Danio rerio: one gene and its partners. The protein of the gene in region 1 purifies or fractionates together with the protein of each later gene. This does not show direct contact. Links are inferred from orthologs where the notes say so. Each region holds a gene or a part of one and is shown in the gene's direction. Other genes may lie near its edges. The genes, in order: aplf, chd1l and lig3.

What was found.
Region 2: the proteins of aplf (region 1) and chd1l purify together in Homo sapiens (affinity purification with mass spectrometry; 4 studies listed by BioGRID and IntAct, counting the BioPlex papers as one, with this or other methods). This does not show direct contact. The link is inferred for Danio rerio from reciprocal best matches to the Homo sapiens genes APLF and CHD1L.
Region 3: the proteins of aplf (region 1) and lig3 purify together in Homo sapiens (affinity purification with mass spectrometry; 3 studies listed by BioGRID and IntAct, counting the BioPlex papers as one, with this or other methods). This does not show direct contact. The link is inferred for Danio rerio from reciprocal best matches to the Homo sapiens genes APLF and LIG3.

Annotation. Positions count from the first base shown.
Region 1 is NC_133176.1:54,936,876-54,941,184, forward strand, and holds the start of aplf (aprataxin and PNK-like factor), read left to right. Parts: upstream 1-1,495; 5' UTR 1,496-1,659; intron 1,660-1,822; exon of another isoform or gene 1,823-1,840; 5' UTR 1,841-1,843; coding exon 1,844-1,936; intron 1,937-4,309. Other genes in the region: fbxo48 (F-box only protein 48), read right to left, coding at 847-936. UniProt on the Homo sapiens protein: Histone chaperone involved in single-strand and double-strand DNA break repair.
Region 2 is NC_133181.1:39,408,324-39,411,977, forward strand, and holds part of chd1l (chromodomain-helicase-DNA-binding protein 1-like), read left to right. Parts: intron 1-1,373; coding exon 1,374-1,455; intron 1,456-1,621; coding exon 1,622-1,784; intron 1,785-3,449; coding exon 3,450-3,605; intron 3,606-3,654. UniProt on the Homo sapiens protein: ATP-dependent chromatin remodeler that mediates chromatin-remodeling following DNA damage.
Region 3 is NC_133180.1:66,733,618-66,738,022, forward strand, and holds the start of lig3 (DNA ligase 3), read left to right. Parts: upstream 1-1,604; 5' UTR 1,605-1,763; intron 1,764-3,956; 5' UTR 3,957-4,006; coding exon 4,007-4,405. UniProt on the Homo sapiens protein: Isoform 3 functions as a heterodimer with DNA-repair protein XRCC1 in the nucleus and can correct defective DNA strand-break repair and sister chromatid exchange following treatment with ionizing radiation and alkylating agents.

The DNA of each region.
Region 1 (4,309 bases):
TATAAATTGACAGACGTTTAGAGAGCTTTGAGGCACTTTTCGGTTTGTTTGTTTTACATGTTTTATGGGTTTACTATAGACACCATAGACTGTAAAAAGATAGGGATCCTGTCACATGTTGTCATTGTTCAAAAATAAACAACTGTGGGAATATTTTTTATTGTTTTATTTTTTTTTTATTAACCATAAGTTAAAGTACAAACCATGACGGCATATTCAACAGTCCAATACATATAGTATTAGAGTTGATTTAAAAGTACATGATTGGGAACAAAACACACACACACACACACACACACACACACACACACACACACACACACACACACACACATACACACACACACACACACAAATAAAAAATAAAACTCATTTAAAAAAAGGAGGTTGGGGGGGGGGGGGGGGGGGTGAGAGTCTTAATCAAGTAATATAAACGAGTCCAAGGTGTGTGAAAGTTTACGGGCATTTCTGTTCGTCATGAAGTGAGAAGTCCTTACAAACATCTTCAGATCATTCCTCCATCCATTAAAGTGGGGTTTCACCTTTACAAATTTGCATCTATGAATGAAGTGTTTAGCTAGAATAATTAGATTATTTACCAAAAAGTCTAGGTCCTTGCCCTTTAAAAATATACCAACTTTGAAAGTGTATATTTGTCTTTGTTTGTAATGCAGCCAGTACTGAAACTCCCTCCATAAATGTTTTTAGAATTTCACATTGAAAAAAAAAAATGTTCTACAGTTTCAATATCTTTCTCACAAAAGCTGCATGAATTGTTTTCCCAGTTAAACTTTTGATGTAAAAAAAAAATATTAGATGGATATAAAGTGGGAATGTAAACTTTACCTCAATCTGGAGCGGATCCTGAAGCCCGGAGCAACACCACCGGGTCAGCTTCTGGCCTGCAGACGGCGCTGCTGCTCCTTCTACAGACATTCTGCATTGCTCGGCCACCCCAAACCTTTATTAAACACCTGTTATTCTTATGACAGAAGAGTTCAATCACAAATCTAATGCTATTTAAGGTGTTAAAGTTTAAACAGCGAGTGTAATTAACATTCTAGGCCTAGTTTTATAAGCAGATGCACCGCCGACAATGTAAATCTAGCTAAACAAAGACTAGAACAGATTTTAAAAAACAAACCCAAGATGTTCGCGTTTATATGTCTATTTGAGGTACGATAGGTAATGATATTTGTGAAAATATTGTGGTAATTTGTGAAAATTCATACCGAAAGCAGCGCTGACAGCTGAGGGTTTAAACGTCTGGTTTGTTTACCCCAGAAACGTCACTAGACAAGCCTCGCCCCGTACTCACCACGCATGCGCGTCACTTTATGAGTTATTTTAAGTCAGAAGTATGGTTTGGAAAATGTATTACTTAAACGTTCAATATTCGTATTATTATATGCATTTTTGCTAATTTATGCGCAAACGTTTAGAAAATGTCTATCGTGTGTATTGAAACAGCGCATGCTCATAGTTTGAGCTGACCGGAAGTCCTTATTCTCGTACGAAAAATAATTATTATTCAAATTGTACTACATTCTGGCGTGATCACAGTGTTTCTTTCGCGTTTTCTGTACTAATGAAGCAGCGATCAGTTTGCTTGCTGTTTGTAACACACTAACGCATTCATCTTAGCCGTCTAAATCAGCAGTAAGTAACATCTTGAAGTTAGTTACTAAATGACAGAGTTTGTATAGATCATGTAAAGTATGGAGAGAGCAGCGCATGCGGGATCAAGATAAGCTTTAGAACAGTTGCATGCACTTTATGTCCTTATTTAACCAGCATTCACTTTGATTTTTAATTAAAATAGGTGTTTTGTTCTGCACAGATCATGCCAGGCTTTGAGCTGGAGCAGGTGGACGGTGGCAGTCCTGTGGATCTGCCCTATGGAGAGACTGTCCTGGGCAGAGGGCCATTTCTAGGGGTGCAGTACATTTTCACCTATATGGCTTAATCATATATGTATTAAATTATTTTATGTGTTCTTAACAGTGTGCCAGTTATTAGGTTTAAGTTGATAACATGGGTGCCAACTTGGAAGTACAAGGTTCTGTTTGCTTTCTAAGCAGATATAAGATCTAGAGCTGTGAAGTTTTTACATTCTGTATAGTAAATATTATATGGGGAAACAAGTCTCTTTGATGCATAAAAATAACAGAGACATGTATGTTTATGTAAATTTATTCTAAATGTGCATTATTAAAATCCTCTCAAGTTTGTAAGTGGGTATTTTAGGAGTAAAACAAAGAACAAATGCAGATTGTCTTCATAATTATATATATATATATATATATATATATATATATATATATATATATATATATATATATATATATATATATATATAAAGCTTTTTTATTCTTAATTTTCTTCTAATTAAGCATACAAGGCAATTATAAATATATTTATTTATTAATACTATTTAAGCAGGCATTATTTAAGCAGGAATATGGTGGTTAATTAATCACATTATTGCTCAAACTATTTAAATTTCATTTGATTTAAAGCAGCTATACTGTAAGTGATCGATAACATGCTAATGTTTATTGTTGTAATCAGGACCCAACAATTAAATTGTTGGCTATTTCACCGTAAAATGTAAGACTTTTTAAAGACATTAAACCTGCAAAAGTAAAATATTTTGGCCCGCTGAATGTTTTCTACTTGTTACTTTAGGGCAGAGTTGCTCAAAGTTGGCCCATGGTAAACTTTGATTTGGCCATCCCATCTGAGAAGAGATTTAGAACGAAGGTTGCATCAAATGTCTTCAACACAGATGGACATTTCTAATTTAACGTAACCTTTTGTTTGTTTGTTTAATTGTTGAGCTACAAAAAAGTCAACAGGAATTAAATGTTTCAATTAAATGTGCATGAATCAGATTTTTGAAAATGTAAATACTGTCACTCGAAGATAGAGGACAACACCTAAGTCATCGGCGAACAAATCAAGCCAAAGGCAGGTTCAGCTTGACTTGTGTATTCAGCATTAAACAGCATTGTGTTATAAATGTATTTATGTTCTTAGTGTAAGAAGTTCATTTTAAAAACTGTTTAAAAATATATAATTATTAATATGATTGAAGTATTTTTCTATTTATTTTTCAATATTAATAAATTAGTAAATCACCATGACAGCTTTATTGTAATAGTTTGGTAAGCGCTGCTTTAGGGTCTTCAACCAAATCTGTTACTTTCAGTTTAATGCAGGCCATTTATCTTCCTGCGATGAGCAACCAAGTCCTGAAGATGGCACTCAAACTCTTACATCTGAGGGTTAGAAATAAGACACTCATATCTCATGAACTGATGTAAATAAATAGTTTTTATCGCATTAACAAATGTCTGTAGTGATCGTTAAAGCAACATAAAAGAAGATATTTTAAAGAATGTTGAAAACTGATAGCCATTGACTTCTGTAGGAATTACAATACAGTGGAAGTCAGTGGCTAAGTTTTCAACAGTCTTCTCTTTATATGTTATTCTTGTGTTCAACAGAAGAAACGCAAACAGGCTTGAAATAACTGGAGGCTGAGAATATGATGACAAAATATTCTATATAGTTTCAGTTTTTTTTATTTGAATGTAATAATCTTCTTTTGGTATTGTTTTTGATCATGATTTCATGTAAATTCCTAATTTTTTTTTTTGTTGGATCCCAGGAAGAACAGCCACAATGTAAATAGTGGATGTTAAATACCCTATAAAATAAAAAAGTTTTTTTTAGTTAATGTTTGTTCATTTTGAGACCACCCATCAATCATTTATTGTGTTTAAAATAAGCCTAATAGACATCTAAAAATACTAAACTACTCATAAAATAAACAGGAATACATGACTACACGTGTGAAGTCTAAACCTTGGCATTTGATGACTATAGTCTACTTTTGGGCTATTCTTAGACATCTGTTAGATTTAAGGCCAAATATAGTCTTGCTTTAGCCAACCTGTCAATGTTTAGATGTCTATTAGACATCTATTAAACGTAAAACTGCTTGATGGGCATCTGTAAGCTAATGTGCACCTAAAAGTTGATCACTTTTAACATATAAACACTTACATTTACAGCCATTCTCTTTCAAAATGACACATCCTGCCCGTCTCAGACAAACTTCCTGTTTTAAGAGGAAATCTGTCGCAACAAGACTGAACGCTGTGTTCTTAAAGCCATTTCATGTGACAGATGAGGGCTTTAAATCAGCCATATAACAGTGAAGTGGCCTCATGCAGTCATTTAATGTTCTGCAACATGTTTGATGAACAACACTGAGCTTTAACAGTCATGATAGTGATGGCCG
Region 2 (3,654 bases), on another chromosome or scaffold:
CTAAGTTCTGCTGGTTGACGCATGTGCTGAATTTTCCTTGCCAATCTTAAGCCAATTGTAATGGTTTGTTTTGGTTCAATGTGGAATTTCCACAACCCTTGAAGAGCTCGGGGGATCAGAGTGATCCTACTTGGCCCCACCCTGATCCAGAATAGTGTTTTTATATATATATTTTTTATCACTTATTATTTAATGATGGTGTTGGAGATGTATATTTGTAAATTTTGTTTATTTAATGTTAAATTCCCTCTCAAAACATGCTTTGTGGTCATTTAACACTTTTTAAAGTTAAAGGTTCCGTGAAATTAAAATAAAGTTTTTTTTTAGATGTAACAAGCAGTATGTTAGTTAAGGATGTCTAATGGATCAACAAATCACGTAACCTCATACTTCAGTTTCTCCTCAAATCTTGGTCAATCTTATGCTCTTTAGTATCTGACATGCCCCGCCCCCTTCAACACTCATTTGCTTTTCATTTGATGTGCTTGAGCTCAACCGTTTTCACTGACAGAGCTGTGAGAAAAACAATAAAACAAAGCCACTCTGTCCCACTCTCTCTTCATGTTTTAGTTGAGATTACGTCCAATTTCGGATAAAAATTACACAATTCACAGCACTTTACAGGACTTCTTCGTAACCTAATTTTAAATGTAAATATTGATTAATTCCACAATTTGAATTTTAAGCCCTATGAAATTTTTCCAAATTCTATTTTATTATAATTTTTTTTTGTTCCAAATGTTGTTTTTCTCTGTCTTTTTTATTGTTTTTGATTAGAGTTGCTTGTCGTTGGTTTTTTAAAAATAACTGATTTATAATAAATTAGCCATTTGTAGCTGTAAAGGTTTTGTGTCATATTTTTAATTATTTAGACAAAAATATTGTCTAATTTTTTTTTTTTATGTCCAACAAATATCAGTTATCAACATGAAACAACATAATAACAATAATGTACAAATCATTCATTCATTTTCTTTTCGGCTTAGTCCGTTTATTAATCAGGGGTCGACACAGCGGAATGAACTGCCAACTTATCTATCATATGTTTTATGCAGCAAATGCCCTTCCAGCTGCAACCCAGTACTGGGAAACCATCCATACACACTCATTCACACTCATACACCATGAACAGTTTAGCTTATTTAATTCACCTATAGTGAACCGAAGCACCTGGAGGTAACCCACATGAACATGGGGGAGAACATGCAAACTCCACATAGAAATGCCAACTGACCCAGCTGGATATCGAACGAGGCAACTGTGTTGTGAGGCAACGGTGCTAACCATTGAGCCACCGTGTTGCCCAATAATGTATCATAACATGAAAATTGTAATCGGTTTTATTGTTGTAAGTGACTTTTTTCTTCCCACAGCTGGAAATGGAAGATTTTAGTTGTGGATGAGGCTCACCGCCTCAAGAACCAGGAGTCGTTGCTTCACCAAACCCTCAAAGAGGTTACACAATTCCACTTTAACACAATAGGCATGCTAATGCTTTAAAATTTGCCATTGTTGTATATAAATTCACTGTCAGTCTATAAAACTCCTGATAATAATTCCCCTTCCTGTCATTTTCTCAGCTTTCTCTTTCTATTAACTGACATCCTTTTTTCCCCCACAGTTTACAGTGGGATTTCGAGTGCTACTGACAGGCACCCCCATTCAGAATAACTTACAAGAAGTCTATTCCCTCCTCACCTTCATCCAGCCCAGTGTGTTTCTCCCTGAAGCTGTTGAGGACTTTGTCAATGCCTACGCAGACATACAGACTGAACCTGCTCTTGGTATGACAGCGCGAGGCATTGCAGTTTGAGTATAAAAATCAAATCCTTAGCGCTGAAAGACGTTTTATCTACCACGACCCTTATTAGCACTTAAAGCTTTTGGCTTAATCAAATGTTAAAAGGCACCTTTTTTACCCCTTTTACAAATCTAAATAAGCCTTTGGTGTCTCCAGAATGTGTCTGTAAAGTTTCAGCTCAAAATACCCATTAGATATTATTTTATAGCCTCCAGAATTTTCCCATTTTGGTGTCTGAGTACATTGTAGCTGCTTTTGCAGCCTGTGGCTTTAAATGCAAACAAGCTGCTTCTCCCCGCCCACCATTCCCACGTGCATGTCTGCTTCTCATCATGCGTTAGGTCAAATAAACAGTAGTCAGTGATAGAGACAGGCGCGCATAAAGCTTAAATACAGCTCATTAGTAAAAAATAACTAGTATTTGTATTTGTGAGTTAATTCAAGCCTTTCTGAAATGATGAGTCTCACACAAATATGACGCAACACACACACACACTCACTGCACATGGTGATTATAACTGTTAGGAAGTCGATTTTGATTTTACTTTCTTTATTACAAACATGCTCTGTTTTAAAAATGTTTTAAACTTTTAAAAATCACAGAGAGTTGTAACAAATATTTGAATCCCAGTTTATTTGCAAATTGTTCTGTGGACGTGTGTATACATGTTATTATACAAACATGATGCCTGTAAATCAATTCGGTGGGTGGGGAAAACTGCACTCCTATGTCACGTTGCGGTGGGTCTCAAAATTACTGACATTTGGGTCCTATTTTAATGATTTTAATGTCAATAAATAATAATGATGAGACTTGTTGGGTTTGTATCACTCCAATATGACTGTGGACACACTTTACATACAGACAGTTCTGTCCAGAAAGCGTACAAAAGTTGATTTTCATCATAGGTGCCCTTTAAGTAGTCATAGTAACTGCCTTAATAAAGCTTGAGGGCGTTAGTTTAATAGGCAAGCTCTATATAAAATAAAATTACAAATTATAAAATTATAAAAAGCTCTTTTACTGGTCGCTTTAATTGTCGATTTTGGTGAAAATTACTGTGCCATGACTTCCCGACAGAAAACATTTACTTAAAGGGATAGTTCAACCAAAACGAAAATGTTTTCACTATTTACTCATCTTCAAGTGTTTCCAAACATTTATGAGATTCTTGTGATGAACACAAATTAATATATTGTGAAAGCTGAAAACCTGCAACCATTGACTTCCATAGTATGAAAAACAAACACTTTTGAGGTCAATGTATATAGGTTCCTACAGTAGCTTTCTTCAAAATATCATCCCTTGTGTTTGACAAAAAAGTCAAACAGGTTTGGAACAAGTAAAAGAGGAGTAAATGATGACAAAATGAGCAGTTTATGGTGAACCATTCCTTTAAATCGTTTTGTTTTGTTATTATTAGAGCTCTGATCTGAGTGATATGAAGAAATTGGTCTGATCTGGTGCCAAACTGAGTACCTCAGATAAACCACAGACATGACAGAGCACACACACCTAAAAAAAGATGTCAGAATAGATGCTGTCTCCTTGACTCCTGTCAGATTTGCCAGAGGCTGTCAGAGGATAGAGCTCATAAATTTGTCACATTTGTGCTGGAGTTTGTAATATTGTTGTTCTTGTCTGCAGTCGATGAGCTTCATCAAGTGCTCCAGCCGTTTTTGCTGCGCAGGGTTAAGGCAGAAGTGGCGGCCGAACTGCCCAAGAAGACAGAGCTCGTAGTTTTTCATGGGCTGTCTGCTCTTCAGAAGAGATACTATAAAGCCATTCTGATGAGAGACCTTGGTAAGTCTGGCCAAAGATAAATCATCCAACACTACAGGCAAAATGTAAC
Region 3 (4,405 bases), on another chromosome or scaffold:
CCAGAAATATTTACCATTATTCTGCAAAAAAACAAGATTCAGAAAGATCAGCTTTATAACTCTTGAGAAACTGGTTGATATATTTTACGTATAATTTTAAAGTACATTTCACTGACTCTACATGTGACACAATATTTGTTGTTATAAGTCCAGATCAAGTTCCAGTCGATATTCTCAAATTGGTTATTCCAAAAGTACTTGCGTCTAAAAGTCGCAGGATAATAAATCAAACTTCTAAGAAATGTATTATTAGGGGTGAGCCGGGCACAAAGTAACACTTTTTGGTTTTGGCCAAATAATAAACAAAGTCCGAACCATATTTTTTTTTACCAGCAACACACAAGCCGCTCCTACAAATGAGCACTGAAAGTATGATCGCCGGTCCTATGATTTCTGTGCAGTATTGCCAAAAGTGCTAGGAGTAAAAATGTTACTGTTTACCCCAACTGCGGGGCAAGTTGTAACAGTGAGTTAGTTGTAACACATGCTTAAAAAGGCAGATTTCACACAATTAATTTAAATTCTGTTTACTTTAAATAGTGTATTTCCTCAGTAGCTATTTTTTATTCTACATAGCACAGCATGTTTATTTATTTATTGGATAAACACATTTGGATTTATTTGCATAATTATCCGTTATTATACAATCCATTTATTAGCAATAAAATTATTTTTTTCTATTAAAATATTTTCTATTAAAAACATTTTATATGAAAAGTTCTCAACATTCAACAATTATTAAGTTTAATCGGTGTCCAACAGTGTGTGGATTATTTGTAAACCCCCCTTACAACACTCTGTGTTATGTTTTCCTCAAAACTGGCAAGCAGTCTCACACTTTTCAAAATGGTTCCATCTTTTAGCCTTGAAGATGGTAATCACATAAATAAAAGTCTTTTCATACATATGTTCACAGATTTTTTAAAAATAAAAAAAATAGAGTTTAATAAAAAATACTTTTATGCTGCAATAATGGTTTCTCCTGTTTTTCATCCAAATTTTGCAGAACTTATGAAGGCATCTTCCGATGCTGCAGTGCAAACCTGGAAGGATGGCATGGTTAACCCTGAAAAAATACCTTAAAATGTAAGTGTACGTTTTACCCCACGTTACTTTGTGCCCCGCGCTCCCCTAACGTTACATTGCACTACAGAATGTTACGTTTACACAGACATGCACAAATCACATGTGAACGCATCAACCTCTCCCAGCTTTTGAGTACTACTTTTTACTCATACTTTTGAGTATTTACAACAGATACTTTAACTCAACTTGGACTACATTTTTGGGCAAGAGGTACTTTTACATGATTATGTTTTTAGTACTCTTTCCACTACTGAATATCACACACATTTTTCTTATCATGATAAAACAGTATATAAGCTCTCTTAACAGGTCCTGGAAAACATCACTTTGTGGATTTAATATCAAGCTTTTATTTGGTTAGAAAACGTGTTTTATTTTTTTTTTAAACTACAACGAGTCTCAACGAGAAAATGTTGTGTTTAGAATCAGTCACTTCGGATTCGTGCCAAGTAGATAGATAAACGATTTGAACAACACATAATATGACCATGAAACGAACATGAATTTTCTGCGCATGCGCACTGAACAGGAACCACTTCCAAACAAAGAGGAAGAACTCGTGTGATTTAAAGGGGACAGCACACAATACAGAAATCATGCTCTTTTGCTAATACATCTGTGAGTGCTTTTTAAAAATGAAATCCGGAGCTTGGGATCGGCTAACAATGAAGACTGAGGTAATCCGGAATTTAAAATAACTTCAATGCTGCCTCTTGTAGTTAGTTTCTTTATGGCTGTTGGTGCAGAGTGCAGCTAACATTAGCATGTGAGCTAATTCCACGTTGATCAACAAAGCGACACGTAAACAAAACTATAAACAAATAAATTTAAGTGACATTGTATCTGTATGAAACGATAAATTTAGGACAGGCTGTATGAAAATTACCGTTTTAGTTTTTCTAAAGTTGCTAAATAGTCTATTTTCACATGCACTGCATTGTTTTACTGCAGGTGTTTTGTAATTCACACGACTAAATTCTTTATAAACGTAAACGAGGTAAAGTTCGTTTTATATTCGTACATTCAGACTTTCTCTTAAATAATATAATTTTAGAAAAATATTATTTGTAAATAGTGAAATCACATTATCAGACTATTATGACGATCAAAGTACAACAATGTTTACAGTCAGTTAAATAGTGCTAATGTTGTTTTGAAGTCATATTTACATATGATTTCAGACCGAATATTCAAAGTACCAACAGTATTGGGAGCCTGGCACTTATTGCTACTGAACGAATGAGTGAATATAAAACCAACTTTACCTCAGTTAGAACAGAACATTACTGTATGATTCATAAAAAGACATATGATTGACTGCATGTATGTAGGTTTTGCATTTTGTCACTGTACCAATACTAGACATTGGTTGCTATATGATTCTGACGATATGATAACCTTGGATAAAAATATCACGGTTTCACGGAATTGCTATTACTGCTCTAAAATATGCTCTTTTAAAAAGTCTGAGTAAAAAACTAAAACTATTTTCTTTTTGAACACAATGTAATTTAATTTAGGGAAATTTTTAAATTATTTTGAAACAGTCAACATGTCAGGCTAAATGATTCATATGATTCATTAGCTATGTTTCCACCAAATCGCCAAGATGCACATACATTTTGAAAATGCGCATAAAAACTGTATGCACAACTGAGTAGGATAAACTTTTTATTCAACAACAAAAGATGCACAAAAACTAAGATGGAAACACTTTTAGCAACAAATTCCAGTATGCACATTAAAAAGGTCATGTGATTTTGTTATAAGAGATCATGTGATGATAAAAATGTGTGTGAATGGACAAATCAGCAGGCTGACCAGATTAAAAACATCTGAAATGTTGTTGTGGTCTTTCTAAAAATCCTTAACCGTTGCAGTATTAGTGTTATTATATTATTAATTACCCCCAGAACTGTCGAGAGCATTTTTGCTCCTCATCTCATTTCTTCAAACACCATCACTTGTTCATTGCGTGTCAGCATTGTCTTCTGAGGCGCAAGTCATTTATTAAATGAGGAAAAGAGTCATGCAGCTTCTCCTGCCGCAGATTCCACAAATTCCGTTTTTACTGTTGATATTTGGTGCCAGTTAATTATAATAATAAAGTGACGATTTTGTTCTCTTTGACTTGTTGGATGGAAACGCTGCTTCATTTGCACGTCTTTTATGCGATAATCCAGTTGGGTGCATAAAGTTAATTCGCATTTTTGGATGGAAACATAGCTACAGACTTCTGCTGTCTTCATTAGTTTCTAAAACACAAATGTCCTTACAATTTAAAAGCGGCATTTTTGGACATAATTTCTGCTGGAGATACTGTTGTCCTAAAAAACGAAAAAATCTTACATATACCGTAAGAACGGTATAACAGAAAATGTTGGCGATTTAAAATCGTGACTTTTTTAAACCGCCGGAACCTTGATAATGGTTATTGTCCCATGCCTAACCAATACCTTTTTTCGTACCTTTTTTCTTTACTTGTTTACATTGAGTGTTTCAGTTGTTTTTTTCCAATACATAGTCATAAATAAATCAGCTATTTTTAGTTATTTCAAAGTTCAGTTGTGCAATTGTTATTGGGCAGACAAAAGTGAGCTCACTCAATTTGCTAGTAAGGCTGTCACACACAGACGGCAGTCACGCATTTGCTCTGGGTGGGGGAAATTATATTATGCAGATATATATTTCATATCTCAGACATTTGCGATTAACTAAATGCAACATTTCAAATCGCATTTACAATTCGATTTCAATTAATCGCACAGCCCTACTGCCAGCTCACCATACTAGCCTTAAGTTTTCAACTCAACTCAAAATGACCACCATTAACCATGATAACTATTTTTCTATTTCTATTTTTCTTGAAGGATTCGCGTCTATTTTATGAGATGAAGACTTTTCTGTCTTACTGAACTTTATGCCCAGTCTTTGGCTTGGCAGGGCATTAAGAACACTCAGCAGATCATCTTTGACCAAAATTTCTTGGGAGCCTTTATTTAGAGCAACACTCAAACACCAATATCTCCAGTGCTCGAGGACTCTTATATTTACACGGGGCTCTGAATCAAGCCCCAGTGGAGTCTTTTTCTGTGCGCCACACACTCCAGCATTTACTTTAATATCCAGCTCTTATTTCCACATTTCCTGGCCTGTGCGGAGGAGTGAACAAGCGGATATGGCGGAGCAGAGATACTGTGTTGAATATGCCAAACGTGGCACGGCTGGCTGCAAGAAATGCAAAGACAAGATCATGAAAGGTCTGGTCAGGATCGGCAAGATCGTTCCAAACCCATTCAGCGAGTCTGCAGGGGAAATG